Linked DNA regions of Saccharomyces cerevisiae S288C. The gene in region 4 interacts genetically with the main gene of each other region. Each region holds a gene or a part of one and is shown on either strand. Other genes may lie near its edges.

Region 1 (10,636 bases), on a different chromosome or scaffold from region 4:
AAGTGCCTTGCTGAAGATAGTGTAGGTGATTTCAAAAAAGTATTGTCCTTGCAAATTGGCACCCAACCAAACAAAATTGTGTTGCAGAAGGGTGGAAGTGTTTTAAAAGACCATATCTCTCTGGAAGATTATGAGGTACATGATCAGACAAATTTGGAGCTGTATTACCTGTAGAAAATGCGCTGTTTTTTTTTTTTTGATCTAAATACACAATACATACATTTGCAACCGAGAGAGATAGAATATGTAGAAATAATAAGATGGCGTTGTCTCTATAATGCTTTTCTATTGTTTAGTAAGCTACAAGAAGTAATCAACATGTCTGTTAGAAGCAGATCTGGCTTGGTATACATCTGAAAATATGTACATTTCAGGGTCCGTGGAGCCATCTGCGGAGGCAGAGTCGTCTTCGAAATAATCTGCAATCAATTTCCTGTTGGCTACCGGATTAGATATGCTATCTTCTAAGGCATTGTCGTTCATACTGTTCTCTTTCAACAGTTTATTTTCAGGTGCCTCTTCGAAAACGTTGAAGTAGAATTGATCTTTACTATACAGCTCCAGAATAGATGCTTTATTGCCGCACCGATAACAATAGTTTGGCGCCGACCATACAGTAGTAACCAATCCATCAAAATATATCTGGTAACCTTCGTTACATAACTGATGGGCTCTGTATATTCTGTTCATATCGTTCATACGTAAGAATTTCTCCACCACGCTTCTTCCGAAAGTATAACCTGCTCCACGAGGTGACACCTGGAAATGTTGTCCAGAGTTATCTGGATGATCTAACGTGGGGTTATTGTTTTCTTCCGGATCAGACCAAACCAAGTCTGCCATGGCGCCATCGTGTGGAATTTCTCGAAATCTATCAATAATCTTGATCTGATCTATGGTTTGAACATTGGGCGAGAGCCCACCATGAACACAAAAAATTTCGTCGTCGATAATACAGCATAACACTAGATAGTCAAATATATCTGTCAAATATTGCCAAACTCTTGAATTGCCACCGTACTTGTTCAAGCACTCCGTGTAGAAACCATAGCTCTGCGTGATTTGACGTGACTCGTGGTTTCCCCTCAAAAGATGAATTCTACTAGGATATCGAAGCTTAAGCACAATCAATAGCATAATTGTTTCCACACTGTACAACCCCCTGTCTACATAGTCGCCCAAGAACAGATAATTCGTATCAGGAACAGGGCCGCCTATTTGGAAGATCTCCAGCATATCGTGAAACTGTCCATGCATATCCCCCACGACTGTGACAGGGGTCTGAATGTGAATCACGTTTGACTCCTTCACTAGCATTTCCTTCAGCTTAAAGCAGAGTGCCCTTACAGTCACTTCAGGTAGTAACTGGGCCTTGTATAGCCTTTCTAAACATTCGTCCAATTCCATCTCTACTGGGCCAATTCTCTAACCAAAAATAAAAGTACACAGTGGGGATACAACTGCAATGAGTGGAACTTAATAAACAGTCACGAACTGTTCCAAATTACCTACAACTCGCTGAAAATACCGCGTTTCATACCCTGAAACAGTGGGTATTTTAGCAGTTTTGCATTATTAATTACTGCTCCATCACCCGGGAAACTCGCGCCACTTTTCGGGCGTTTCTTTGTATGGAAAGAATTGATTAATCTGAAAAGAGTGATAAAGGTGGGTAAACAGAGATAGAAAGAAGCCAAATCTGCAGATTAGAAGAGGTTAGAAGATTGTAATTGTTGCTGCCCCAGTGTGTTATTGCCTTAGAGAGTAGTACTGTTAAAGAACAGCTAAGAACGGGTGTTTTCAAAACGAATTACTGGTTTACAAAGAATTCAAAGGAAAAAAAAAGGTTCCAGCATATTTGTTAACTTTTGTGTGAGCTCCGTCTGTCCTTCAAGTTACTATTGGGCAGTTTCAAGTACAAACAGTCTGCCATTACTAAAAAGAAGAGAAGCCTTTGCGTAAACTATTTGACAGGCACAAATAATGTCGCATTCAGACTACTTCAATTATAAGCCTTACGGCGATTCCACGGAAAAGCCCAGCAGCTCCAAGATGAGGCAGTCATCTTCATCATCTTCATCTAGACTAAGGTCGGAAAGTTTAGGGCGAAATTCCAATACTACGCAGGCTCGAGTAGCGTCATCGCCCATCAGCCCAGGGCTGCATTCTACCCAGTACTTTAGATCACCAAACGCTGTTTACAGCCCTGGAGAGTCTCCATTAAATACAGTACAGCTATTCAATCGTCTTCCGGGTATACCTCAAGGTCAGTTTTTTCATCAAAATGCCATTTCTGGGTCCTCCAGCTCCTCGGCAAGATCTAGTAGACGGCCCTCGAATATTGGTCTTCCTCTACCAAAAAATCCTCAGCAGTCTCTACCGAAGTTGTCTACTCAACCTGTTCCTGTACATAAGAAAGTTGAGGCTAGTAAAACAGAGAGCGAGATTATTAAGAAGCCCGCTCCCGTGAATAGTAATCAAGATCCATTATTGACGACCCCAACGTTAGTGATATCACCAGAACTGGCTTCACTAAATACAACGAATACATCGATTATGTCAACGCCACAAAATATTACAAACCAAACTTCGAACAAACACATTCCCACCAGATCGCAACCAAATGGGTCAACAAGTTCCTCCACTTTGCAGGATATTGTCACGACAAATAGCTCGCAACGGTCTGTAGGCCACCATGGTGGAAGCACAACGAGCCTCCGAACATACAAAAAACAATATGTATTAAATGAACAGTTATATTTAAGAAAAATGAGAAACCGTGCTAATGATGATTATTACACTAGAGGTATAGTCGCATCATCCAACTTTGAAGATGACGAAGAAAATTTTAGTAACAAAGGTGAAGATGACTTAGAACTAGAAATGGATGATCTTTTAAAGGTAGAAGGTGAGGATAAAGATAACGACTTCAATTTTGGTTATAATTTTATTACGTCGAGCACAAAAAATAATGAAAATGTTGTTTCGATGAGCCTAAATTATCTAAAGGGCAAATTGGATTGGTTGAGGGATGTGAACAATGATCAACCGTGTGAAATAGAAGATGAGGAGTGGCATTCCATACTGGGGAGCGAGGATTTGCTGTCAAAATTGTTACAAAATCCTATGGTGAACAACCGATTTGAATGGCAAACAATGTTATCTAAGGTACTGAAGGGAGATATTGTGAGGAATGAAAAAACGAAGATTGCAAATCAAGGGAAAGGCCCTGGCTTCAATACTCAGTTTTCAGATGACATTTGGATTGAGTTGAAGGCATGGATGAATGGGAGGACCGTGGAAGATCAGAACAAATCTCTGAGGATTTTTAGGGATTCTACTGACTCCGTATTTCAAGAAATCATGGCCTTTAAACTAGAAGATAATATGAGCGCTGACGAGGCTGCAGAGACTATCAAATCACTAGTAGACAAATATTATAGAGTCTTAAATCTATGGCCTAACATTAAAAGAATGCATGCTGAAAAACCCATTACTAAAACAGAAGCATTCAGGAATCGAATAGATACTTTGAATAGTTGGCTTAATTTCAAATTTAACTTTGATACTAATATTGCGTACCTGAAAAAATGGATAGTTGGCAATAAAGAGCTAGAAAGCACTACCGAAGTGGATAACACCACCGTGAATTTGGATGATCCAGCCGTTTTCGCCACTAATTGTAAACGCTTTGCGGAGCAAATTATGAAGGAAAAGGATATTGAACTGATATTTCAAAAAAAAATATTCTTTCCATTAGCACCATGGATTTTGAAGGCCAAATTTTTCTTCTTGAAATACCAAAAAACTTGGAATGAATTGAATCTATCTTATTTGGATCAAGATCTGGAATTTTTATTGATGTTTCCAATGCGTTTGGTAAAAGATATAATACTAATTCGCCTATCTTACGCGAAGAAAATACAGAATCCAACCTTGATGATGATCGATCAAATGATGGACGATTTTAGTACATATATTAAGTTGGCAGTCCAAATGAAATTCACTGTTGCTTCTTACTGTAATGACTGGTTTTTTAAAGTGAAAATCGATCCCGAATTTGATCATACCGTTGTTGAAGGATTGGAATATTTTTTCTCCATTTTGGAACTGAGAATATTATATAGTGGCAAAAACTCATTCAAGACTTCTAAAGAACCTGATCTGTTATTAAAATATTGGGAAATGTTTAGAAACGTCGGCTATTATATTGATGATGCAGGCGAACTGATCGCAGCAGAATTTACGAAGTTGACACTTAGATTGGTTCACAGATTGCACGCTTACCTTTTAAGGCAGCAAAACACTCCGCCAAAATTAGAGAATGAAGCTGCTGCTGAAAAATGGCTGGTGCAAATATTCGAAATACTTGGATCCATGAAAAGAAAACTCAATAGATTCACCAATATTTTGACAAAAGCATTTCAAAATTTTGTCCGCTACAAGATAGAAGATCACAACTATCTGCTAAAGCAACTAAAAGAAACAGGCCACTTTCTTATATACACAGGAGGTTACCTAGAGCAAAATGGTACTTATTTAATTGGTAGCCCAGAGCTATTAGGCTGTAAAGATGATGATATTTTAAGAATCATTAAGAATTCAGACATCGGTTGTGATTTAGTGCCTAAGCTAGAAATTAATAACAGTCTGACAATTTATAATGCTTTGGATGATAATTGGAACTCCAACTCATCACTGGGTTCAGATATCTCGAATGATGGTACCCCATTTTATTATATCAAAAACGATTTGACCACCCAGCCTAGATCTTATAACGGTAATAGAGTCAATCGTGAACCGGATTTTGAAAACAGCAGGAGCACGGAGGAAGAGTTTTATGAACTGGAGACAAGATTGAACTCTCTTGGTTATGTATTGGTATTGACTCCGCAAGAGCCATTACTTTGGGAGGGTGAGATGTATAATCTATCCGATAACAAAACAATTAAACCAGAGGGATTGAACTTGAAAGTAATTCCTAATTCAATAGATTTGATGTGCCAAGGATCCAGTTATGCCTTAGAATACCAATGTGACAGGTTCCAACAGATATCTGGTAGCTCAGTTTCTTTCTTGGAAAAAAAATCTTCCTCAGAAACGGTTAAAAACAACTTACAAAGGATAAATAAAGCATATTTCAGATGCACGTACAGTGTTCTGAAGAACTATACAAAGATTGTGACCACGTTCAAGAAGGTAAGTCCTGTCAATGATTTATTGAATAATATTTTCCTTTTTGGGAGGGATTTTGGTCTGAACTTTTTGAGAATTAATGTTGCCAACAATGAAAAAAGATCCATTATAATACTTTTAATGATGCGGTTAAGTATCGGATGGCTGAAGTTCTTAGCTGAAGACTGTGATCCGACTGATCAAAGGGTATTTAGGTGGTGTGTCACGTCAATGGAGTTCGCGATGCATATGGTAAGCGGTTGGAACATACTAGCTCTTGATGAATGCCAATTTTCTTCTTTAAAACAAAAAATTTCAGAATGCATGTCATTACTTATTTCTCATTTTGATATAATAGGCGCACGCTCCATAGAAGTTGAGAAAATCAATCAACAAGCTAGATCAAATCTTGATTTGGAAGATGTGTTTGACGATGATATGATGCTACAAGTGAATTCCGAGTTCCGAGTACAAAGTATAATGGAATTGGAAGAAAGGATAAAGCGGAATCCTCATCAAACTGGTAAAGTAATTGATGATAGTGACAAAGGTAACAAGTACCTTGTTTCTTTGGCATCTTCCATATCGAACGTTTCTATGAGATGGCAAAAGAGGAACTTTATTGGTGGCGGTACTTTTGGAAGGGTATATTCTGCTGTTGATTTGGATAATGGTGAGATTTTAGCAGTCAAGGAAATCAATATTCAAGATAGCAAATCAATGCAAAAAATATTCCCCTTAATCAAGGAGGAAATGAGTGTCTTAGAGATATTGAACCATCCAAATATAGTTTCATATTACGGTGTTGAAGTTCATCGTGATAAAGTTAACATCTTTATGGAATATTGTGAAGGCGGTTCCCTAGCAGCTCTTTTGGAGCATGGTCGTATTGAAGATGAAATGGTCACTCAAGTCTACACTTTACAATTGCTAGAAGGACTTGCATATTTGCATGAATCCGGCATTGTTCACCGTGATGTTAAACCCGAAAACATCCTACTAGATTTTAATGGTGTTATTAAGTATGTTGATTTTGGTGCTGCTAAAAAAATTGCTAATAATGGAACTAGATTGGCAAGTATGAACAAAATCGAAAACGCAGATGGTGAACACGAAGATGTTACCCATGTTTCTGATTCAAAGGCAGTGAAAAATAACGAAAATGCTCTATTAGACATGATGGGAACTCCTATGTACATGGCTCCAGAATCCATCACTGGATCTACCACCAAAGGCAAACTTGGGGCAGACGATGTTTGGTCGTTAGGCTGCGTGGTATTAGAAATGATCACTGGTAGACGGCCATGGGCTAACTTAGATAATGAATGGGCTATCATGTACCATGTTGCTGCAGGACATACCCCACAATTCCCTACTAAGGATGAAGTGTCGTCTGCTGGTATGAAATTTCTGGAAAGATGTCTTATTCAAAACCCCTCCAAGAGAGCCAGTGCGGTTGAGCTGTTGATGGATCCTTGGATTGTACAAATTAGAGAAATAGCCTTTGGCGACGATTCTTCCTCTACAGATACTGAGGAAAGAGAGTAGTTAAGTTGAGAAGGTTTGTTGTATTATATGTAAAATCAAAATATAATGTAGTGGGGGGAGAGTATATAATGTTAATTCAAGGATAGAAGATTAATGATAGCATTTTTTTATAATTGTTTTGATTTTGAGAACAGAAATTTATAAAGGTAAGATATAAAAGTGAAAATTTGAAGTCTAGTCGAGGTGGATTAATGTAAAACGCTCGCTATATATTTTATTGGAATTGACGTTAGCTATTATCAATCAGTTTTTTCATCTTGTTTGATTCTCTTATAGGTGAAGAAGACATCGCTTTTAACAATCGAATTGGCCGTCAATTCTTTCAAAAAAACGGTAGGGGTCTTGTCGAAAATGATCTGTTTGAGTAGAGACAAAACATTCACTCTCTCTTGGAAAACAAAGTTCTTAATGTAGGTTGGGTCAAATCCAGTAAACATCTTTGTTGTGTTAACTAGCTCCCAATGGTTGGTAGTCTTATTCTCGAATGGCAATTGAGAGGCGGTTGGCTCGTGGGTGATCAAGAAATCAAAGGAGGGCCACATTTCCTGCAGTAAAGTCGTATTTTCAGTCTTATCGTAATTGATGCCGTACACACCGTAGTTCAATTCACCAAATAAAGTGACACCTGTCATGCAAGGAGGTATGCTGATATGAACTGTAGCGTTTGTAATATTTTTTTCCACAATCATGTCATTAAAAGAAGTTAAAGCCTCGCCGCCTGGATAATTCATTCTTGATATATACAAGAACGCCATTGAAATGAAAAAGGAGGTCATTATAGATAAGGGCAATATAGCCAAACATAAAACATTGGTAATCTTTTTTACTTTCATATTCTCCCATAGATGTGCTGCTCCTGTGGCACCTAGCAACATGATAGATGGAACAGCGTAGATGATGAATCTCCATTCTTTGTGAGGTTGAAAGGATAAGACGATAATGTGGAAAAGAGATGCTAGTGAGACAATTTTTAATTTTGCAGGTGCTAATTTATAGCCGAAGTAATTCAATAGTAAAACAGTTGGTGGCATAAACATCATTCTCAAGTAATGCGTGAAATAAGCAGTAACTGGCTCCACACCCCACTTGGAAGCGTAACCCGCAACCACGTTGAACAAGAAACCATCTACCTCAGGTAGACACCATTCTTGCCAGAAATATGAATCAACGGTGATACTGATGGCGGAACCAAGTCCCAAGCCAAAGATACCGAATTTGATAGCATCGAATAAAGAAATCTTCTTGAAGATGACGCTAAATAGAGCAATACCAGCACTGAGAGCTGACACTTCCAGTCTAAATACAATTGCCACGAGCGCAGATAGGAATATAGCTGCATTATAACGACCCAATAAAACCCACCCCAATGCGACGTTGGTTAGAGGCAGAGTCATGACAAAATTAGGCAGAGTCCTAGTGCTGTAGAACATGAGGTGGAAACTGCCAATTAAAAATAAAAGAAACCATGTACCAGCGCTATCGTAAATGTATATATCCTTGTCTTCATTTTCTTCCTTTTTCTTTTCAGTGATTTCATCAAACATATCTTGCAAACAATTCTTTAAATAGATAAAAGAAAGCCCATTGGTGAGGCCAACAATCCCCCTAACGACCAATTGAACATCTATAGACGTAGGCCTGGAAGTTTGGATCAAAGAACTCAAGTAAAGATAAGGTCTCGAAAGCATTGCAATAATCACAGCACCAACGAATGTTCTAGGGACTACTCCAGGAAATTTCAAGTGGTCATATTGGGAGATATCAAATACGCTGTAGGTTAAAATATCATGAATGGCTTGAATATTAAAACTCTCTTCCACCTTGGTGAATGGAGCTTGGATTAGATGAAAGGAAATCACGGTCAATAGCACTGTATCAAGGACAGACCAACGCATTGTCAACTGAATCGTTGTTTAATGGCTTTATTCAACTCTTTTAACAACACTAATCGTTAATGGTTTCACTTGCTATTAGTAAATTCCTTGCGTTATAAACTGTGAAGTGCCACGACATTTAATGCCGGCTGGTAAAAGGTTGTTCATTTTTAAGGGCCGAATTTTTCATTTTCATTTTCATTTTTTTTTTTTTTTCACTATTGGAATAACATGTATATTATAAATATTATATAATATTAAATGTTTAATGCGCTTGTAAAGCCAAGAACACCCTTTTCATTGAGGAATTTTCAACTTTTAAAGCGGAAGAATGTCTGCATTGAGAAACATCAAGTTCAATGAAGAAGAAGATGGTGAACTACCCTGCCTCGTAACAGGTGAAGAAAATAATCTACAAGAAATTTTGGAAAATGTCTCGTATGATGGTGGAAATATTGTTAGCGATGCAAAAGTTGAAAGGGTAAACAAGCAAGTGGAGAACACTTCTGCAGGCGCAACAGATGTGCACGAGAAAAAGCGTATTCCTGTGAGCATTATTACCGGCTATCTAGGATCAGGTAAATCGACGTTGCTGGAAAAAATTGCATTAAAAGGTGCAGATAAAAAAATTGCCGTAATTTTAAATGAATTTGGAGATTCTAGTGAAATCGAAAAGGCTATGACCATTAAAAATGGATCGAACAGCTACCAAGAATGGTTGGATTTGGGTAACGGGTGTCTGTGTTGTTCGTTGAAAAATATAGGTGTTAAAGCCATCGAAGATATGGTGGAGCGTTCACCTGGTAAAATCGATTATATCCTTTTAGAGACCTCCGGTATTGCAGATCCCGCCCCCATTGCGAAAATGTTCTGGCAGGACGAAGGATTGAATAGCAGCGTTTACATTGACGGGATCATCACGGTTTTGGATTGTGAGCATATACTAAAATGCTTAGATGATATTTCCATCGATGCCCATTGGCATGGTGACAAAGTTGGTTTGGAGGGGAATCTGACTATTGCACACTTCCAACTAGCCATGGCTGATCGAATTATAATGAACAAATACGATACTATCGAACATTCACCAGAAATGGTCAAACAATTAAAAGAAAGAGTACGGGAAATAAATTCTATCGCACCGATGTTCTTCACCAAGTATAGTGATACGCCGATTCAAAATTTACTAGATATTCATGCATACGACAGTGTACGGATATCTGACATCTTAGATAGTGGTAGCGGAAACGGTACCATTCATGATGATCGAATGGGCACAATAATGCTTACTTTCAGACCATTAAAAAACGAGGAAGAATATAATAATAAGTTTATTAAGCAATTTTTGCAACCTTTATTGTGGAAGAATTTTGGAGCCATGACAGTGCTGGGAGGGCGTCGCCGAGATGACGGCCGTGATTGGGAAGTACAAAGAACTAAAGGTCTGATACTTATTGAAGGAGAGAACCCCATTGCTCGTGTAATCCAAGGCGTCCGCGACACCTACGATGTCTTTCCAGGCAAATATGACGGATCCAATAAAGAGTGTAAAATTGTGCTGATTGGGAAGTACCTAGAAAAGGAATCCATAGAGGAACTGTTACGTAAAACCCTGGAATGATGGTTGGCATAATAAAGACGAGGTAAGTTATGTATATTTATACGTATGTATGTGATACAAAATGAATGAATATTAAGCGGATGGATCGAAACATTTTAATCCTCTCTAATAGAAACTATTTTAGACGATCTGTTGAATATTCTTTTCCTGTACTTGGCCAAAACGTAGAAAAGTAACAATACCGAAATACCAAGCATAATCTTTGGTAAAGGATGGTGAAGCTGATTATATTTTGCGTCTTCTAACTTTCTTTGACTACCCTGGTATAAATAATTCTTCAATGTAATACCTTTCTCCAAATCGCCGTTTTGGTAATCTTGAAGCCTTTGTAAATACTTTTCGTGAGCTTCCTTTGCATGCTGAATCCTGTGTTCCTGGGATGAAATGTAACCTATTGTTATTGGTTGCTCTGGTTTGC
Region 2 (6,444 bases), on a different chromosome or scaffold from region 4:
TCATATGATTCGCCTTTGAGTGGCACCGCTTCCACTGGGAAAACCAGACGATCCGAGGAAGGCTCAAGAAATTCTAGCGTAGGATCAAGTGCGAATGCCGGTCCTACGCAACAGCGCGCGGATCTACGCCCAGCAGATATGATACCTGCTGAAGAATACCACTTTGAACGGGATGCATTACTCTCGGCCAACACGAAAGCCAGAAGCGCAAGCACAAGCACAAGTACAAGCACAAGCACAAACCGGGACAGGAGTTCATGGCATGAGGCAGAACCCAATAAAGACGAAGAAGAGGGTACGGACTTGGCCATCGAGGACGGAGCGGTCCCCACTCCCACTTTTACTACGTTCCAGCGGACCTCGCAGCCGCAGCAGCAATCACCTAGTCTTCTTCAAGGCGAAATCCGACTCTCATCGCATATTTTTGCCTTCGAGTTCCCCCTGAGCTCTAGCAATGTAGACAAGAAAATGTTTATGAGCATATGTAATAAAGTATGGAATGAATCAAAGGAGCTGACAAAAAAATCATCATCACATCACAGAACCGGAAAATAGTAGCCACACAGGCACTTATAAACTTACATACACTCGCATACACTCACCTACTCACACACGCACTCACACACACACTCTCACTCGCACACCAAGGACAATTCAGTACATACACAATTTTTATATAAGTTTGATAAACTAAAAGATGAGGGTGAGTATTCACCTTATTAATAGTTACAGCCTTTATCGTCACTAGACACGACAGCATTGGTTTGTCTTTTTTTTTTTTTTTTTTTTTTCCTTTCCATCGTTGTAGCGGATTTGGCGTTGAAGTATTTTGATATAAGTAAAACAGAACACCAAATCAAGAATAATAAAGGAGGAAAAGTCGTCAACCAAGCGGATTCTCAATTGGTAGAAAAGCTTTTATTATTTTCTGTTAGCCGCTCTTGGGACCCGTTATTTCTGAACCTATTTTTCCTTCCGCACTTTGTGAAAGTAAGAAGAGAATAGCATCAATTTTAGTATTTTTCAAACAGAAGAATTTAAAAGAGCTAGAATAAAAAGTTAGGAAACAATGTCACTTTCTCTTGTATCGTACCGCCTAAGAAAGAACCCGTGGGTTAACATTTTTCTACCTGTTTTGGCCATATTTCTAATATATATAATTTTTTTCCAGAGAGATCAATCTCTGTTGGGACTTAATGGCCAGTCCATTTCCCAACACAAATGGGCACACGAAAAGGAAAACACATTTTATTTTCCCTTCACCAAGAAATACAAAATGCCAAAGTACTCTTATAAGAAAAAAAGCGGCTGGTTGTTCAACGATCACGTGGAAGATATTATCCCAGAAGGTCATATTGCACATTATGATTTGAACAAATTGCACTCTACGTCAGAAGCAGCTGTCAATAAGGAGCATATTTTGATATTGACTCCAATGCAAACATTTCATCAACAATACTGGGACAATTTGCTGCAGCTAAATTACCCTCGGGAATTGATTGAATTGGGGTTCATTACACCAAGAACAGCCACTGGTGACTTGGCCTTAAAGAAATTGGAGAATGCTATTAAAAAGGTTCAAACGGACAAGAAAACTCAAAGATTTAGTAAAATTACTATTTTGCGACAGAATTCCCAGAGTTTTGATAAGTTGATGGAGAAGGAAAGACACGCTTTAGATGTTCAAAAGGAAAGACGTGCAGCAATGGCTTTGGCGCGCAATGAATTACTATTCTCCACCATAGGACCTCACACTTCTTGGGTGCTGTGGCTAGATGCCGATATTATAGAGACACCACCATCTTTAATTCAAGACATGACCAAACACAACAAAGCTATCTTAGCTGCAAACATTTATCAAAGATTTTACGATGAAGAGAAGAAGCAACCATCAATCAGACCATACGATTTCAACAACTGGCAAGAAAGTGACACCGGTTTAGAAATAGCCTCTCAGATGGGTGATGACGAGATTATTGTCGAGGGTTATGCAGAAATTGCCACTTATAGGCCATTAATGGCTCATTTCTACGATGCTAATGGCGTACCAGGTGAAGAGATGGCGCTGGATGGTGTTGGTGGAGGCTGTACTTTGGTCAAAGCAGAAGTTCACAGAGACGGTGCCATGTTCCCTAATTTCCCATTTTATCACTTGATTGAAACAGAAGGTTTTGCTAAGATGGCGAAGAGATTAAACTACGATGTATTTGGCTTACCAAACTATTTGGTTTATCACATAGAGGAAGAGAACCATTGAGCAACTGAGCAAAAAGCATACAGAAGCTATAGCGTTATTGAAAGATAATATTGTTGCGATTATTAGTTGAAAATAAACAAAACAAGATATATATTCATATATATATATATATAATTTACACATGTATATTAAAAAATGCCGAATAAAAAGTGCTACAACAACTAATTTCTGAGCTTGAGAATAAACCATTCACATTTTATTTCTTTTGGTGCTTCTTTATCATTTATAAATCGGTGGTCTTGACTTTTTATTCCTTTCTAGTCTAACAATCATCCATTCTATAGCGTCTTTAACACCTTCTCCAGTCAATGCGCTTATTGGTAAAACCCTACTATCTCTAGCGCTTATATGTTCCGCAATCTTATTAAATACTTCTTTTATATCTTGTACTTCCATTCTATCTTGTCTATCTTGTTTATTGGCCAGCATCAAGATGGGTACACCTTCAATTTCTTCATCCATTACAACTGACTGTAGGGTCGTGGAACATTCGTCTAATCGTTCTCTATCTGAACTATCCACAATGAAAATTATACCATGACATAGGGAATAGTATTCGGACCACATTGATCTCAGTGATTCTTGACCACCTACATCCCAAAACTTCAAGATCTGTTTACTGTCAACGGGTATTGTCGCCACATTTTGTCCTACCGTAGGCTGTATCTTTTCCAAGGCTTTGAACGCCAGAGAGTATTCCTTTTTCAATGTCTCCAAGAACGTCGTTTTGCCTGCATTGTCTAGACCTAATATTAGAATTGAATATTGTTCCTTTTTATTCCAATTATTGTAAAGTCCCTTGACTAAATGAAACATGTGTGCGGTGCGCTTTATATGCTTTATTCTCCTTCATCTACTTGATTAACACATCGATCTGAATTCGTTTTTTAATTTTCCGTTTACATTTGTCTGAAAAAGGTGTAAACATATTTCTTATACTAACACTCCCATAAAGTTCAAAGTAGAAAATAGGAGGTGGGGGAGGATACGTACATATGCAAGCTACATTGACGTATCTGCTCTTAAACATAAAATAAAAATGCAGTAGTATGTTAACTTATTTAATGGTGGGATATATGCTTCTAACTGAATATAACTGCTTAGCATTCAAACTCTAAAATAACAAAGTTTTCATCACCTAATAAATGAGAAATAGAATCCGTAGCTAAATCGGTCGAGTTCAACAAGACTTCTCTATCTTCATTTTTAATCAGTTTCCCACCGACCCAGTTAAGATTTTTCAAAAGATCCAAACCATTATTAATTAAATCATCTCTTAAAATATACAATCTCAATTTCATGTATTCGAATTTGAAGTTTTGGTTCAGGTTGGAAGTTAGCTCTAAAAGGGCAAGTAACCAATCTTTATTTATATAGGTACTGTGGTTATCATGAACGTTCCTACTATTCAGTAAAGATGGTAATACAACATGGAAATAGTTTTCATTAAGTTTACACCAAATCAGTTCCTGCGTAAATAGGGGAAGATACAGTATGAAATACTGCGAGCCTAGTTTTCTCCAATTGTAACCATCGTGGCTATTATTATTTTTATATTGCTTGGTATTTTCATTATAAATTAGTCTTTTTAACGTAGTTTTCATATCGTTTACAAGCTTATTTTTCAACAGCTTAGCAACAGACTTCTGATTGTTCCCCTTATTTTTTGACGGAACATTGTAATCTAATATGAATTGAGATTCCATGCATAAAATAACATCCCAGTAAAAATCGATGATATCAATCTCTGGTGGAACGTCTAGAGGGATGTCACGCGCACCAATCCTTAAATCCCCCACTAGCCAAACTATACGTAGAAAGTTTAGGCATTGGTGTGCACTTATTACTTTTTAGCAGTGAACTTACTGGAAAATGTAAAGAAATACCCAGATTTGATGGGTCCTCTATGAGCCTCATGAGTTCAGGACTCTGTAAAACGTTTATTATTTTTGTTTTCCTTTTCTGTATTACTTCATACATTTTCAAAGATCTTTTTACTTCTTTATGTTATCCTCACTATTGAAATACAACGTTACTAGGTCTTTTATCTTTCCATATTTTTATTCTCAATCACATACATATATAGTCATCGCCGATTATCTTTTCGTTTTTTAAGTGGCGCTCTCGTGAGACACGAGTTGTTCCTTCACAGGAAAAAAAAATATAAAAATAACCTTCAAGTTACATGTGATATTTATTCGAGAAATGTGGATGAGATTTGTTAAATGTACTTATAATGTGTACGAGTATACAAGACTAGAGGGATACTAAGCGTTCACCCAACCTTTTGTGCCCTTTAGTGAAGATAAGATAAGGTAAGATGCACGTACTGCTGAGCAAAAAAATAGCACGCTTTCTGTTGATTTCGTTTGTTTTCGTGCTTGCGCTAATGGTGACAATAAATCATCCAAAAACAAAGCAGATGTCTGAACAGTATGTTACACCATACCTTCCGAAATCTTTGCAACCTATTGCAAAAATTAGTGCAGAGGAACAAAGGCGTATACAAAGTGAACAGGAAGAAGCCGAATTGAAGCAATCTTTAGAGGGAGAGGCCATTAGAAATGCCACCGTGAATGCCATTAAGGAAAAGATCAAATCTTATGGTGGTAATGAAACGACGCTAGGGTTCATGGTGCCATCGTATATCAATCATAGAGGATCACCACCAAAGGCGTGCTTTGTCTCACTAATTACTGAAAGGGATTCCATGACCCAAATCTTACAATCTATTGATGAAGTGCAGGTGAAGTTTAACAAAAATTTTGCTTATCCTTGGGTTTTTATTAGTCAGGGGGAGCTTGACGGAATGAAGCAAGAAATGATTCGTCAAGCCATAACTGATTCTATGAATGGTGATCCTGAGTTAATTAATATTAAATTTGCTGAAATTCCTGCAGACGAATGGGTATACCCTGAATGGATTGATGAAAATAAAGCAGCAGAATCGCTAATTTCATTAGCAAATGTACCGGATGGTGATTCTAGAGCTGTAAGATATCAAGCTAGATATTTTGCAGGGTTTTTTTGGAGGCATCCAGTTCTGGATGAGTTTGATTGGTACTGGAGAGTAGACCCTGGTATTAAATTGTACTGTGATATTGATCATGACCTTTTTAGGTGGATGCAAGATGAAGGCAAAGTGTTTGGTTTCACATTGAGTATGAGTGAAGCTAAGGAAGCCAATGAGAAGATTTGGGATGTTACGAAAAAATTTGCAAAGGATTTTCCAAAGTTTATTTCCGAGAATAATTTCAAGTCATTTATTACAAAAAAGGACTCTGAAGATTTTAACAACTGTGAATTCACATCAAATTTTGAAATTGGTAATTTGAACTTTTATAGATCGCCAGCTTACAGGAAATTTTTTAATTACATCGACGAAGAGGGCGGTATTTTCTACTGGAAATGGTCTGATTCCATCATCCACACAATTGGGTTATCGATGCTGTTGCCAAAGGATAAAATACATTTTTTCGAAAATATAGGATTCCATTATGACAAGTACAATAACTGTCCCCTAAACGATGATATATGGAACCAATATAATTGTAACTGTGACCAGGGTAACGATTTCACGTTTAGAAGTGGTTCATGTGGCGGACATTACTTCGACATTATGAAGAAAGATAAGCCAGAAGGTTGGGATAGGTTACCATAAATCAAAACACTGATGTATAAGAACAATAATCTTCTACATATGAATATATATACATATGTATTTATTTATTTTATTTAATTTTTAATTAGGATCGCGAGAAAGAGAAAAACAAAACTAACTTATGATGGAACGTATCGAGAGGAGGTGAATATATATATATAAAATGACTAGGCTAGAAGATTCAGAGCTTCATGTATTGTCGTAGTTTTTTTGGTTTGACTTTTTTAATCAAATTTCAAATTTCAGTAAATAATTGGTTGGATATTACTATGCAAAATGCAACCGTATTTTAAAATAAAATTAAAAGAATCCAACTCATACAATGAAATGTTTTTTATATTAAACGTGCTTTTTTTTATTATTTTTTGTTCTTATTTTCCGGCTTTCGGAAGATGTAGAGTGGTCCGGTATATTAATGCTTGAACTAGGAAAAACTATGGATGGGGCGGCTCTTCATTCATGACAGTATCTGGAATTGAAATTGTGAATAAGTAAATCTTCAATTTCATTATCTGATTCTTCTTGA
Region 3 (7,730 bases), on a different chromosome or scaffold from region 4:
CGAGACCCTCTAAGAATACGTATTTTTCTTCGTTATTTTTGGTAGGTAAATCGTCTAAAAAATTCAAGGTTTTGACTAACGGATCTTGGAAAAACTCAGAATCTAAAATCAACGTTATGTTATCATATCTGGAATAGATGTCTCTGTTTATTAGCTTGGGTATACAATGCCTCAACTTTTGTGGAACCTTACTGAATATATTATCCCATGACATTGTACTAATTTTGCTTTCAAACTTGTTGTACTCCAATTTATATTCACTAGTCGAATTTTCGCTGCGAAACAAGTCTTTACCAGTGTACAGAAAATATATCAACAATCCTAAAGAAAAATAATCGTTCTTAAAGGTTAGGGTATTCTCAAAAACAATTTCTGGGGCCGTATAATTCAATTGTAAATGCATAAATGGGGGAACTCTGGGATCATATTGAGGTAAGAAGTATTCAGAGGTATTTGTGCCTGGTGGTATTTTTACTAAATAGCCTAAGCCGGAAATTTTCCAATCAGAATTTTCATTGATAAATATTGCCCTAGGTTGAATGTTCAAGTGTACAAAGCTTGCGCGGTTATGAACAAAATCGAGTGCATTTACCAGTTGCAATATACCTCGCTGTACCACGATATTATCTTTAACATGACCTTGTAAGAAATTCTGCTCTTCATCATCGGTTTCTCTGAAAACGGTCTCCAATGAGCTAGTGACAAACTCGGTGACGAACATGAAATTCTTGCTATGTTCTTCTAATGGTTCAATTAAAGTCAGAATATTTGGGTGCTTGAGCTTGGCCAAGTTATTGGCCTGGTTTCTTAATATTTCGTACGCTTCTTGTATTAATACTTTATCTCTGGATCCAGATTTGGATTTAATAATACCATAGTGTAACAAATAGTTTTCGAACTGCTTCTTGTCAAACATGAATATCGATACTTTGGAAGGTGAAGATGAAGATGAAGATTTGGGACGACCGGTGTAAATGCTCCATGGTTCAGCTGTGAAAGTAGGTGATGATGAAAATGAATATTTTGACGTGATACCCGTCTTTGAGGACCAAAACATCATCCCTGCTCAATCAAAGTGTGTCCTATTTTCCTTAATGATACGATATTCGAAGTTACACTGTTTTGAATACTTTTGTGCGCTTTAATATGTGCAAGATTTATTTGTTTTGATATTAACTTCTTTTTGGCTTCTATTTTTTCAAGACTGCAGTACCCTTTTTTTCACGCAACTTCAGGTTCGAACCGAAGAATAGTTTAATTACGTTTAGTTTTCCTACTGAAACTTTTTTTTTAAAAGACCCTGAGAATTTCATCTCGAGAATAATGAAGACCAATATATAAGTAATGAATCATAAAAGTACAAGAGCAGGATCAAAGTTGAATGTCTCAACAACAGGACAAGAAAATGAGTGAAGAAGGAGCATATGTACGGGTGAGCATTTTTCTTGTATAAACATAAACTAGCTGAACATCAGCTCAATCGGACATAAAAATAAGTTTCCAATTAGACATGCACTTGAACTTGTAATTATTTATCGACCAAAAAGAGTAAGTTAATTTTCACATAATCTTGGAAAAGCCAGAAACAAGATTCGAGAGCTGGAGAATGGATGATGAATCAAGCAATGTTGAACAATCAAAATAATATAGGGTGTATAGGTGTTCACGTATTTCTCTTTATGTTTAGTGGGTGTGCCAAAAAGGACACTGAAAGGGTAAGAATAATAACTTAGCATATTGCTTTCGATATATAGATGTTAATCATACAAAGGCAAAAACAAAGCGTGAATCAGCATTTGTTAACAGACAATTGCAAGAAATGTCGCTGATCAGCATCCTGTCTCCCCTAATTACTTCCGAGGGCTTAGATTCAAGAATCAAACCTTCACCAAAAAAGGATGCCTCTACTACCACTAAGCCATCACTATGGAAAACTACTGAGTTCAAATTCTACTACATTGCATTTCTGGTCGTGGTTCCCTTGATGTTCTATGCTGGGTTACAAGCTAGTTCGCCCGAAAATCCAAACTATGCAAGATACGAACGTCTCCTATCTCAAGGTTGGTTATTTGGCAGAAAAGTAGACAATAGTGATTCTCAATATAGGTTTTTCAGGGACAATTTTGCGCTATTGTCAGTTTTAATGCTAGTCCACACTTCTATAAAACGCATTGTACTTTATTCAACAAATATCACTAAATTGAGGTTTGATCTGATATTTGGTTTGATCTTTTTAGTGGCCGCTCATGGTGTCAATTCGATAAGAATTTTAGCCCATATGCTAATTTTATATGCCATCGCCCATGTACTAAAGAACTTTAGAAGAATAGCCACCATCAGCATTTGGATTTATGGTATTTCTACGCTTTTTATTAACGACAACTTCAGAGCATATCCATTTGGTAATATTTGCTCTTTTTTAAGCCCATTGGACCATTGGTATAGAGGTATCATTCCAAGATGGGATGTCTTTTTCAATTTTACTCTTTTGAGAGTCTTAAGTTACAACTTGGACTTCTTAGAGAGGTGGGAGAATTTACAAAAGAAGAAAAGTCCATCCTATGAATCAAAAGAAGCTAAATCAGCCATTTTGCTCAATGAACGTGCTAGATTAACTGCTGCACACCCCATACAGGACTACAGCTTAATGAATTATATTGCATATGTTACTTACACGCCACTTTTCATTGCCGGCCCCATTATAACATTCAATGATTATGTTTACCAATCGAAACATACCTTGCCATCAATAAATTTCAAATTCATTTTTTACTATGCGGTGAGATTCGTTATTGCTCTCTTATCTATGGAGTTCATTTTACACTTTCTCCACGTTGTGGCAATCTCAAAAACCAAAGCGTGGGAAAATGACACACCTTTCCAGATTTCCATGATTGGCTTATTTAATTTGAATATTATTTGGCTAAAACTACTGATTCCGTGGAGGCTGTTTAGGCTGTGGGCTTTGCTAGACGGAATCGATACACCTGAAAATATGATCAGGTGTGTTGATAACAATTACAGTTCACTAGCATTCTGGAGAGCTTGGCATAGAAGCTACAATAAGTGGGTTGTCCGTTACATATATATTCCTCTAGGTGGTTCAAAAAATAGAGTTTTGACATCACTAGCAGTCTTTTCCTTCGTAGCTATATGGCATGACATCGAACTAAAGTTATTATTATGGGGTTGGCTAATAGTTTTGTTCCTCTTACCAGAAATTTTTGCTACCCAAATTTTCTCTCATTATACCGACGCAGTCTGGTACAGACACGTTTGCGCTGTCGGTGCTGTTTTCAACATATGGGTTATGATGATCGCTAATCTTTTTGGATTCTGCTTGGGCTCTGACGGTACTAAAAAATTACTAAGCGATATGTTCTGTACCGTATCTGGTTTCAAATTTGTAATTTTGGCAAGCGTTAGTTTATTCATCGCAGTACAAATAATGTTTGAAATCAGAGAAGAAGAAAAGAGGCACGGAATTTACCTAAAATGCTGAATGCCAAATTTACGAATATCAATTGTATAACACTGCTATCATGTATGTATTTTTATCTACTAGTACAAAAATGAAACCGAAAATAAATAAAAAAATATCGAGAGGAAGCGTGAAAAGCTAATGAACATATAATATGAAAATCTGCAGTATGATGGATAAAAATCCTCTCGAAAACTCAAATACGTTTTTTATATTCACCAGGCGTTTCAAATTTATTCTGGATCCACAGTCCCTTTTTTCTAGATCTTGCCAAAAATTCATAATATCGATACTTATCTTCTCTATCATCAAATTCTGTGTTTACTTTACCCTCATAAACAACCGCTAATCCATCCTTGAGCATTTCTAAGCTTAAGTCTTTCCACCCACCAAACCAGTCCCAGTATGACACTCGAGCTACACAACGGTTGTACTGATCTATAGATAAAGGCTTGACCCATACTTTCTTTCCCAAAATTCGGTTTTGTAACCAAATTAAAGCTTCATTACCAAACGGTTGAGCTGGGTTACCGAAATGTGCTCTTTCTGGGGCATCGATTCCACATAATCTTATAGGAATAGTTGGCAGGTTTTTCCTATTTTTGTAAGGTACATTTAGCTTCAAGAACTGGCTTTTAGCTTTTTGTATTTTACTTTTGGTGGACCTCCCATGCGTAATCCAATTGAAATTGAAAAACCTCATATTTCTGCTATCTCCAACAAGCTTTTCTGCCGTAGAATCATTCTTGATCATTTGTGGGACGGGTCGTAACCATCCCCATCCACCTCTTATACCACCTGGCATGTGAAAGAAATGAAAGTTGTCCCCGTCACCTACAGACGTGACTTTACCATAAAGCCAGTGTTTACGAAATATTCTTCGCGGTATATCATTTGTTCTTTTGAATTGAGTTAAATACCTTTTATATGTGTAGATCAATGTTAAGGTCGAACCCGTAAGGATGATGGAGAGGACAGCAACATCCGCAGATTTTTTTGAATTAGAATCACCTTCCCTCATATAAGTGCATTTATGCCCCCTTAATAGCTATGAAAAACTGGGCTTCTTTTTATATCATGTGTGACTTATTCTGTAATTTGTTTTTATTCTTCAACACAATTTTTTTTTTTTTGCATACCAAAGGAATCATAAAAGGTCAATGATGAAGAAAGATAAAAGAATTTTGTGACCAACAATTATGTCAGCGGATAGGAGTTTATCATATTATAAAACCGATTACTATTATCTATTAGAAATGTATATACACTTATTTGGCTTGTCGCTGTTCCCACAGACGCAATGTTATTGTTGCCAAAAAGCACGGAAGTTGACCTCTATCTTCCACCCATAGATTCATGAGATCATCCCATCCTTCTATATCTGCATCAAGGTTAGATTTCAAAGTGTTTTCATTTAGATCAGCAATCAAATATTTTTCAGGTTTGAAACAGGAAAATATTTTCACACGACTATCTTGTTGAAATTCCAATTTAAAACCTAATAATGAGTTTACAACGTCAATAAACTCCAAAGATTTATTATTGAAAACTTGCTTTAGTCTGGAAAATCTTTTATTTGACTTAAAAACTTCCTGTTCGAACTGTTTCAACTCGAAATTTAGTGAATCATAAACAGAAATGGGTACTGTTTCCACTGCTGGATTATTCTTTTTCAATTCGTTAAGTAAATCTGCATTTTCCTTTTCTAGAAGAAGTAATTTGTTTTTCTTGATAAATTGATCTTTTATGAAGGGGCCGTCACGTAATTGCAGTATACGTATTTTTTTCTCCTTTAGTTTAGTTAACTTTTCTAATTTTTCTTGTAGTAGCTGAATTGTAGTTTGTGCTTTACTCAACTCCCTCGAGACACTTACATTTTCCAGTTGCAATTCGTTGAGCCTCTGTGAATAATTTAAACCAATTTGGTCACTTGTCAACTTCCTCTTTTTTCTTTGTGTTTCTACATCATTGGAATTTGATAATAACTGATCGTTTAGCTTCTTTAGTTCGTTTGTTAAATCTTCTGTCTTATTTTTATAAGTATCGATCAAATTATTCATATCTTCGTTTACGTTCTTGTTTGACGCATGTGTTTCACTATTTTCGACCTCTAGTAAAGCATTATTTTGTGCGGAATATAGGCCATCTAATTGTTCGCGCAGTAATCGACATTCTTCGAAAGATAAACTCTTCTGTTGTTCTAACTCGTGATTTAATCTTTTCAAATTTACTATGTTGTTTTCATAATTCTTGTTCAAATCTAGTATTTGGTTTCTCTCTAAAGCCATTTCATCATTCAGTAGCTTTAAATTGTTATTGTCCAATCTTAACTTATCATTCATATCTGTCAAAATTAAACATTCCTTTTTGGTAAGTTTCCAGTCCCGGATAATCTCTTCAGGGTTATTTCTTATGTTATTTTTGGTTCTGTTGTTATTATTAATATTGTTGTTATTACTTGTATCATTATTATTATCATTATTATTATCATTTTTATTATTATTATTATTATCATTGTTGTTAACATTGTTATCATCATCATCGTCACTATCATTATAAATTTCCCATTTGGTTAATTTCGATTTTAGATCTATGTTTTCCAATTGAAGATTTTCATATTGACTTTCGAGTACGTGTAATTGACTTAATTTGTTTTGTAGTTTTTCATTTTCTAATTTCCAAAAAGTAGAAGTGTCCTGGGATTGTTTAAGTTTTTTCAATTCATTGGCTTGTTGCATGTTCGCTAGTTCCAATTCTTTAGTATACTGAACTTGGTCTTGGATCATTTTGTTCATTTCAGTGAGCTCGTTGAACTCTTCGGTGGAGTAGTTTGGATGTGAGTTTATCATCTTAGATGCTTTTACCGAAGATAATTCATCATCCTTTTCCATCACTTGATGCTGCAAATCTTTGATATCCACACTTTGCCTCTTTATTTCTTTCTCATATTTCATCAGTAGCGAATGAGAGCTCTCTGCTTCCAACTTGAAATGGTCACATTGGTTAGTGACCTTTGATAACTTCGAATCATACTGCTGCCTTAAAGTCTCCATTTCTAAATCTTTGTTTTGGAGGGTTGTTCGCAATTCCTCTATGCATTTGTCTTTATCATTCATCGAATTAGCTGATCTTTCTTTCAAACTCTTTAACTCTTGCTCCAATTTATCATTGCTTTCATAAAGATATTTTGTATCATTCAATGCTTTCTCTAATTCGTCAATCGTGGCCTTATATTTCTTTTCTAAGATATTCGTCTGTTTTTGTAGCTGCAATTTTTCAATCTCATACTCATTTTGTAGAGTATTGAGCTTGAATTGTAACGCCTGAATCTGACGATTACTTTGTCCATTTGTACTGCCTACGTCGGGCGAACCTCCAGGGCTTTCCAAGAAAGGAGAGGACCCACCACTATTGCTCATTTTGTACTGGATAGAATAGATCTCTAGTCCCAATTTTTTTCCAGTGAATCGTCCACTCAATGCACTGAAGAAACATTGCAATGCCGCTCTCACATCCATTATTTACTATTACCTCTCGATTTTAAGATGGAAAAAATTGTTAGGAATTATTCCTAGGGTAACACGCTATCAATTTTCATTGCTCCTTTAGCGATAAATAAGAGACTAAAATAAGATCAACTTCCTACACAATCTCTGCTCATTACATTTCGATGTCGTGGTGAAATTCTTATTCTGTATATGCAACGTAGAAGAAAGCAGCGTTTACACAAAAATGTCAAAAGTGTATGTTATTATAAGTTTTGAAAGGGATTTCAACATATACTAACAAATTCTTGAAATGTACCCTCACTGTCCTATTGTAAATCAGACCAAGAAATTTTAGGTTGTTAGAAGAATTAGAAAAGGGTGAAAAAGGGTTTGGTCCAGAATCATGTAGTTATGGTTTAGCTGATAGCGACGATATTACCATGACCAAATGGAACGGCACTATTTTAGGGCCCCCTCATAGTAATCATGAAAACAGAATCTATTCCCTTTCTATAGATTGTGGCCCAAACTATCCAGATTCTCCCCCAAAGGTCACTTTCATTTCCAAGATAAATCTACCATGCGTCAATCCAACTACGGGGGAGGTCCAAACTGACTTCCACACCTTACGTGACTGGAAAAGAGCCTACACCATGGAAACTTTATTACTTGATCTTAGAAAGGAAATGGCAACCCCAGCGAACAAGAAATTGCGTCAACCGAAGGAAGGAGAAACCTTTTAGTTATCTACTTTTTCCTAA
Region 4 (7,341 bases):
TCTTTCAATCTATTGAAATACTTTAAGGACATATCATAATTAATGATCTCAAAATGAAGTTTTCCTAATTGCACTAGACACCATGGCATTGTGTCTTTAATATGAGATGGGATTTGAGACTCGAACAGTCTTATTGCCTTGAACGAATTGTATTGTGATGACGACCTTAATATTAAAGCGAAATTATACATGATTTCAGGCAGCGTAATTGAATAATCACTCGTTAGTATTGAGTTACTGATTATTAAAGACCTTGGATTTTTCTTGGAAGTTGTTAACCTTCCTGTTGAGGAATATAGGTTTCTTGGAGTTTTGAAAGTTGTTTTATTTATAATGTTATTATTATTATTATTATTATTATTATTATTATTATTATTATTATTATTATTATTATTATTATTGTTATTTTGGTGGTTCCTATCGTTATTTAACAGTTTCGATGGAGGAGTCGTTAAAAGTTTGTTTCTGTTATAAACTTTGGCCAACGAGCTTATTGTAGGCTGTTTGGAGGATGGAGACACTAAGTTCATGGAAATGTTATTTGGTAGCGCAGAAGACGTCTTACTGTTGATTGCAGGGTTTTTAGGAGTTTGAGTATTTTTGTTCTGGCAGGTCCTTATTGATGTGTTCGCTTGTTGCTGCTGTGACCTTGAGAAATGCTGAATGGAAGAAAAAGAAGATGCCGATGTAGAAGGGGGAGAATTAGACGACTGAAACAGTGTATTAACATTATTATTGATATTATTATTGCCGTTTTTGTTTGTTTTTGAATATAAGCTAGGTTGTGAACGAGGTTCGAAATGCGATAGTGATGTAGACGGAAACGATGAAGCTGCATTATTATTATGACTATTACTTTTTTTCCCTGCAATGTCGAAAAAAACCCTCTTGAGATCCACGGTAGCTCTCATTTTACAAATCGCTTCGTAAGATTCCCAAAGGTAAGGATTAATGGCTAATGCTTCAGAATGATAAAATGCTCCCTCCTTAGAATGGTCCAGTTTCATATAAAGATTGCCTAACAGGCAATTCAAAGTGGCCAAATCGGGAATATGGACGAGATTAGAATTCAACACCATATTTATGCGCGTATTACTGCTGTTCGAAGAAAATACATTTATTATTGAGAGAAGAGTGAGGATAGCTTCGTTAACTCCCTGCGAAAGCTGTAAAGCACAACGCCCGAATATGTAAGCGATACCAAGATGATACTCCTTGAATTCTTTGGATATCTGGAACGCAGTGTGGTAGCTTTTATTCAGAAACAGCGAAAGTGCATATAAATATACCGCATCGGACCAGTAAACACTTGATTTATCGAGAATGGAGCATTCAGCATAGAGCAGTTCGGCCAAAAACTCTGCGGTACTGTAGTTCAACTGCTGAATAGCCTGCTGAATGCAGTCCTGAAGCTGTATGATGGTGCTCAAAGCTTGATCATCAAAGCTGGGGATTCCTCTCGAGAGGGTGAACGGTGCTAACTCAGGATTTACCGCCATGCTATTTTTATTATGTATCCTGCACGAAAAGTTCGTGTCGATTTATGAATAGATATGCAGTCACCAAAACAGAGTCTAAAACTCTCACAGCTAGGTATGGTTTTTTGATAAACTTTTCTGTGGCACCTTTGCTTGCACTTTGATCCTTTTGGTTTACTTTCAGCCTGTTCCATCCTTTTGATCAAAAAAAAAAAGGAAAATCAAGCGCGGGTAATAACGGCACCATTAAATACTAGTAGTACTATATAGATGGTATAAAGAAATGATTTAAAACAATACGATTATATGATATTTATACATCTGTTTCAGTTGAGCTTTTTTTCCATAGAGCTGGTGGTACGAAGATGGCTTTTGGCGAGGGCGACCGAACCAGATAGCTGCGTCAAGGCCAATAGAAGCAACAGAACAGTATTCAATGCCAACAATAGCGTGCTTGCTTGTGAGTTTGGTGGATAGGAATTCCAGCACCACTCGTGCAAGACGTACCAAATGGGACCAACGAAGAAGGGCATTCCCGACCAAAAGATCAGTATAGGCAAAGTCCAGTGATACCAGGATAGAAACTGGTAGTGGAGGGACCTTGAAAATAGGACGCCGATGAAGTTGGATGCGATTAGAACGAATGGAATAGTCTTGGCGGGATTGGCATTGAGCACTGCATTTTTCCTCAGCGGATGGCACAGGGAAGACCATAAATCGGGCAGGATGCGAGGGTATCTTGTGACGAACAGTGTGGTGAGCGCTATCAGGTGGCTGATTAAAAGGGCCAAGTGGAACCTCTTATCATTGAAAGCCTCTTCATCCATCATTTGCCAATTGATACTCCATTGGTACATAAACTTCCTGCCGAAATTAAAAGCGCAATGCAGGTACTGTTGCGGAAAGCTGCGCAGGAAGGGCACTGCAACTGCGACTTGCCATGCAATCATCGCAACGAGATCCAACAAAGTAAGGATTACGTTCGCGTCATTAAGGATGAATAGAGAAATCATCATTGCAGGGAAATACAACAGCGCATTCATCTTAATGCTCACAGCCATACTGTATGTTGCGGAGATCACCAGCGCAAGGGACTTCTTTAATTTGGGGCGCTGATGGCACCTGCTGGCCACGATAGCCCCCAAAACCGTGACGACCATAAACAAAGTAGTGAAGCAATCATTGAATAACCGTAGCACGTAAATAGAGTGCAATCTTTTAGAGAGGCACGCCAAGACCACACACCACGGTGGTAGATGTAAAAGGTAGTAACACGCCATTTGTAACGCCAGTGTAAGGAGATACAAGTATCTGAAAAACACTTGCCCGCGCTCAACGTGGTCCATTCCCTCTGTTAGCCAGTACATCATCTTGTAGATCAAGACGTGGCCTGCTGGATACACCAGCGGGCCCGTTCCACCACTCACCTGAGAGTAGTCCAGCATGCCATCGAGCTGAATCATCTCGATCTGCTCCATGTACGCCTTGTAATCGATCTCTGTGTAAGCTACCTTCTTAATGATAATCTTGCACAGCATGCTTTCGAACAAAATCAAAAGGGGCATAACGATAAGATTGGCCCTACAATCGAAGATCACGTAGCGCACACCGTCCTTGAGATCCTGCCACAGATCCAGCGGAGGTCTGACAAATTGCTTCCTTTGCAGAGACTTTTCACCTTGCGGAGACTGTTCACCTTCCATACTACTAGTATCTAACTCTTTCTCTCTCCCATACACACTCTATGATACTGTTTTCACTCCCAACTAGTGTACTGCGTTGTTCTTTAAGTTCGATAGCGAAATTTCTTTAGCTTGTTTACAGCACCCAGCAACCGCACACAGAATGTGACGGCAAATGCATTTTACATGGAAGGCTATCTACAAAACAGCAATAAAGAGTCATGTAAGATTGGGAAATCTCTAATGTGACATTCCATACTTGTTGCAACAATTTTGGGATGCTTCTGCGTCGTACGACCCTGTATTTACCTTCTCTAGCTCATCGCTTCCCAGGGTCCACGTTAATTTTTCAATTTTTTCTTGCGTGTCGAAGATTCAGGTCTCGAGAAATTTGTCAAAAATTTTTCACTAGATATTAAGAACTATATACATCGAATAAGATGCCAGCACAGAAGAGATAGGCAATCAGTTTAGATACTACAGACACTATCCAATAGTGCAAAGCAAAAGCAGCATAGAAAAAAGAGAATCCCGTTTCCAGCTTTTTCTCTTTTTCCCATTCGTTTTTCCTGATCTTTTTTTCTGCATCGTGGCACCTAGAACAAGAGGTACCTTCCATCCTTCGCTTAATATTTGATACGACTTTTTTGATTTCCATTATTATTATTTGTTACTATTATTATTTATCATTTGGGTTTCGGTTTTTTGTAATAATTTTCTTTTTTTTTTTTGGCTCTATTTCACTAAGACATCGTATATATGCCAGGCCAGATAATCAGCATTCCGTTTTTGTCGCAGAACGAGGACATGGATAAATACTTGTTGGAGTACCGCAGTTTGAAGCTCCTTCATCAGTCCAGTAATTCCTTCCAGTCTCACAATGCGCCCTCCCACCAGTCGAACTACCACCCCCATTACAATCACATGAAATACAACAACACTGGTAGCTATTACTATTACAACAACAACAATAACAGCAGTGTAAACCCACATAACCAAGCTGGTCTACAATCCATTAACAGATCTATTCCATCGGCCCCGTACGGGGCTTACAACCAGAACAGAGCTAATGACGTACCATATATGAATACCCAAAAGAAACACCACAGATTTAGCGCTAACAATAATTTGAACCAGCAAAAATACAAGCAATATCCCCAGTATACGTCCAATCCAATGGTTACTGCACATCTGAAGCAAACGTACCCTCAACTGTACTACAATAGCAACGTCAATGCTCACAACAACAACAACAACAGCAACAACAACAACAACAACAACAACAACAGCAACAACAACAACAATCTTTACAACCAGACGCAGTTCTCCACGAGGTACTTCAACTCGAACTCCTCTCCCTCGTTGACTTCTTCCACTTCTAACTCATCCTCTCCATACAACCAAAGCACCTTCGAATACATTTTGCCGTCAACTTCGGCAGCTTCCACAAATTTATCGTCGTCATCATCAAACAACTCTATGCACACCAACCCAACCACTGCAACATCGACATCCGCCGATTTAATCAATGATTTACCCGTGGGCCCCACGTCCAGTTCGCTTATCTCGGATCTACATTCTCCACCAACTGTATCTTTCCTACCAGCAAGCCAAACCCTGCTCATGTCCTCCACCACATCTAGCTCTATTGGCACCAACATAAACCCACCGCAACATTCACCATCCCCATCGCAAAGGGAGGATTTTTCGACGGCACCAGTGAACATGTCTTCGTCCGCATCACTCTTGATGAATGATTCTTCTTTAGGATGGGGGTCTAACCACATGAACGTATCTTCATCCTCTCAACCAGCATCATCAAGACCCTTTGGCATTTGGAATACTGACATGAGCGTTTGGAGTTGAGATGTTTACGTATATTTTTATGTATATTATTATCATTAGTATTACTATTATTGTTATTATTTATGCACGGTTCCTATTTACACGCGGCGTTTATATTTTACCATTGAATATTTAAGATCTCTTTGAATTTTTTCTCGAATTCGTTTGCCTTTATACGTCCCTGGCTTCGTCTCATTCCTTGTCCAATTAGGAATTTTAAAGAGGACTTCTTTTTACCAGTAACCAGGTTCCGTATAAAAGTGTCATCTGTGTGCTGTGCAATGACATCATTACAGAGATCCATCAATTCTTGAGGGTCGACCTGATTAATCGCATGCAATTCAAATTTCTCGATTAGTTTTGAAAAATCTGGAATAGACAAATCTTGGCAGTTACTCTGCTCGAAATTTTCCAATATGTGAAACAGTAACATTTTACCACTAGTTGCGGATATAACCTCTTCATGCAATAACTTCAAAAACTGGGCGAAAACCGGAGGAGGCAAAATTTCTTTTGCTTTGGCCAATGGAATTTGTAGCTTGTTCAAATCTCCCAAGAATTCATGGATTATCCAATTCGTAGGTAATTTCGCGTTACTACGTTCACCAGCAAGCTTGGAAAATTCACGGAAGGTGTCTAAGTAGTACGATCTCAACGCCTCATGATTGTACATATCGTTTTGGTTACTATTATAAGTCAGAATCTTGGCGTCCTTCAATGATAATTGATAGGGTTTCTTCATAAGAATTCTCATTATATCGTCCGGTAATTGGGGCATCAACCCTCTCACACCACTGATAACGTCTGGTGCGAGGTTGATATACGGCAATTCTGGATCAGGCATGTACCTGTAATCGATCGTGGTTTCTTTGCTTCTCAACTTCACCGTTGATGAGCCTGTCCAGCCCCTTGTTTCTGGCTCCATCAGTGAGCTAGTGTCACCCACAGAAATCAACTCAACTTGCCGCTGATATTCGTACTTGATTGCATTGATGATGGAACTAGTATTGGGTAAATTCTTCAACTCAACGCGTGCATATTCATTAATTGAGAGGTTAACGTCCACTCGCATGGCGCCCGTTTCCAGGTCCCCAGAGGAAATGTGCAAATGACGTACCAAATTCTGATATTTTTTAATAAACGCTCTAACCTGTTTAATATCACTGAAATCTGGTTTAGTTACCAATTCGATAAGCGGGACGTTCGACCTATTTAAATCAACCAAAGTAATAACGTCTTTATCTGTCTCTGTATAGTGTGACTTCCCCGTGTCCTGCTCTATCTGCAACTGTAAGATACCGATTTCCTTGGCTGATTCATCGATATCATCCAATTCCTTCGACAGATTGATCTTCCCACCCCGAGCAAACGGCCTGTAGTGCTGCGTCAGTTGATAGCCTTGAGGTTGATCTCCATAAAAATAATGCTTCCTATCAAACTGAGATATGCTATTCACTTGAGAACCCAGTGCCAAGGATAGTTTCATGGCAAACAAGATTGCTTCCAGATTCAAAACCGGCTGCGTTCCCGGTAGAGCTATGTCATAATAACTAGTATGATGGTTTGGTGCATCCACTAGAGATGTGGCGCTATTCGTTGATTGTGAAAAAAGCTTGTTTTTGGTGTTCAATTGCGTATGAATCTCCAATCCACACTTCAATGCATATTCCGGCCTGAAGGGTGCACCGTGACTATGTATGGCTTTGGTTCTGGCCAAAGAATAAAAACGTGCAAGCCGCAACATATCTAGTTCCTACTCTGGTCTTTTTGGACAGGAATGCTAACAATAACACTATTACTAGGTGGTACGACTAAGTACATCACGTCAAGCTTATTACTACTATAACTACTATTATCATAACAAAAGGGAAAACTAAACCCTATCTAAACAAGGGTTATTTAAATTTTTAACAAGGGCATACAACAAAAAAATAATAAACCTAAAATCAGAAAGTTAATCTTTCAGGGCTTTTGAAAGTGGAATTAACGTCTCTAGTAAACGAGGATTGTTTCCAATGAGATTCTAAGACCCAAATATCCTCTTCTTTACTTTGAAATGTTTGCAATGGACCATGATTATGGATGTGTTCTTTGTGACACGCTTTCAATGTACTCTATATCGTGTTGCACGAAGGATTGTTACTTTATTTGTAAAAAAAAAAACAATTTTTCGAGATGGGACATTAATATTGTAGAATTCTGAACATATTAGTGAACAGTTCTTTCGGAGAATTACTGGAACCTAGGATCTGACAAGCGGACAAAAAAGCAGAGTGCGTTTATTACTTCTCTTTCTAGCGGTTGTTCATGTTTCAAAGTTTTTTCCACAACAATGG

The links.
Region 1: mutations in ALG3 (region 4) and SSK2 together harm fitness more than expected from each alone (negative genetic interaction), as found in Saccharomyces cerevisiae (3 studies listed by BioGRID).
Region 2: mutations in ALG3 (region 4) and ARL3 together harm fitness more than expected from each alone (negative genetic interaction), as found in Saccharomyces cerevisiae (3 studies listed by BioGRID).
Region 3: mutations in ALG3 (region 4) and GUP1 together harm fitness more than expected from each alone (negative genetic interaction), as found in Saccharomyces cerevisiae (3 studies listed by BioGRID).

Annotation. Positions count from the first base shown.
Region 1 is NC_001146.8:676,781-687,416, reverse strand, and holds SSK2 (mitogen-activated protein kinase kinase kinase SSK2), read left to right. Parts: upstream 1-1,983; coding exon 1,984-6,723; downstream 6,724-10,636. Other genes in the region: ubiquitin-like protein HUB1, read left to right, coding at 1-174; putative serine/threonine-protein kinase PPG1, read right to left, coding at 301-1,407; ALG12 (dolichyl-P-Man:Man(7)GlcNAc(2)-PP-dolichol alpha-1,6-mannosyltransferase), read right to left, coding at 6,963-8,618; ZNG1 (GTP-dependent zinc transferase), read left to right, coding at 8,929-10,218; peptidylprolyl isomerase family protein CPR8, read right to left, coding at 10,314-10,636. UniProt on the Saccharomyces cerevisiae protein: Kinase involved in a signal transduction pathway that is activated by changes in the osmolarity of the extracellular environment. Activates the PBS2 MAP kinase kinase by phosphorylation.
Region 2 is NC_001148.4:456,592-463,035, reverse strand, and holds ARL3 (Arf family GTPase ARL3), read right to left. Parts: upstream 3,074-6,444; coding exon 2,477-3,073; downstream 1-2,476. Other genes in the region: DIG1 (Dig1p), read left to right, coding at 1-555; mannosyltransferase complex subunit MNN9, read left to right, coding at 1,070-2,257; KTR6 (putative mannosyltransferase), read left to right, coding at 4,578-5,918; LEE1 (Lee1p), read right to left, coding at 6,372-6,444. UniProt on the Saccharomyces cerevisiae protein: Involved in the targeting of ARL1 to the Golgi. Can bind and hydrolyze GTP.
Region 3 is NC_001139.9:346,388-354,117, reverse strand, and holds GUP1 (O-acyltransferase), read left to right. Parts: upstream 1-1,819; coding exon 1,820-3,502; downstream 3,503-7,730. Other genes in the region: SCY1 (Scy1p), read right to left, coding at 1-1,060; LCL3 (Lcl3p), read right to left, coding at 3,678-4,502; coiled-coil domain-containing protein MAD1, read right to left, coding at 4,750-6,999; E2 ubiquitin-conjugating protein MMS2, read left to right, coding at 7,214-7,224, 7,310-7,712. UniProt on the Saccharomyces cerevisiae protein: Membrane-bound O-acyltransferase involved in the remodeling of glycosylphosphatidylinositol (GPI) anchors. Acts only on GPI-anchored proteins, but not on free GPI lipids.
Region 4 is NC_001134.8:67,947-75,287, forward strand, and holds ALG3 (dolichyl-P-Man:Man(5)GlcNAc(2)-PP-dolichol alpha-1,3-mannosyltransferase), read right to left. Parts: upstream 3,182-7,341; coding exon 1,805-3,181; downstream 1-1,804. Other genes in the region: anaphase promoting complex subunit CDC27, read right to left, coding at 1-1,499; YBL081W (uncharacterized protein), read left to right, coding at 3,920-5,026; glutamyl-tRNA(Gln) amidotransferase subunit PET112, read right to left, coding at 5,124-6,749; NUP170 (Nup170p), read left to right, coding at 7,313-7,341.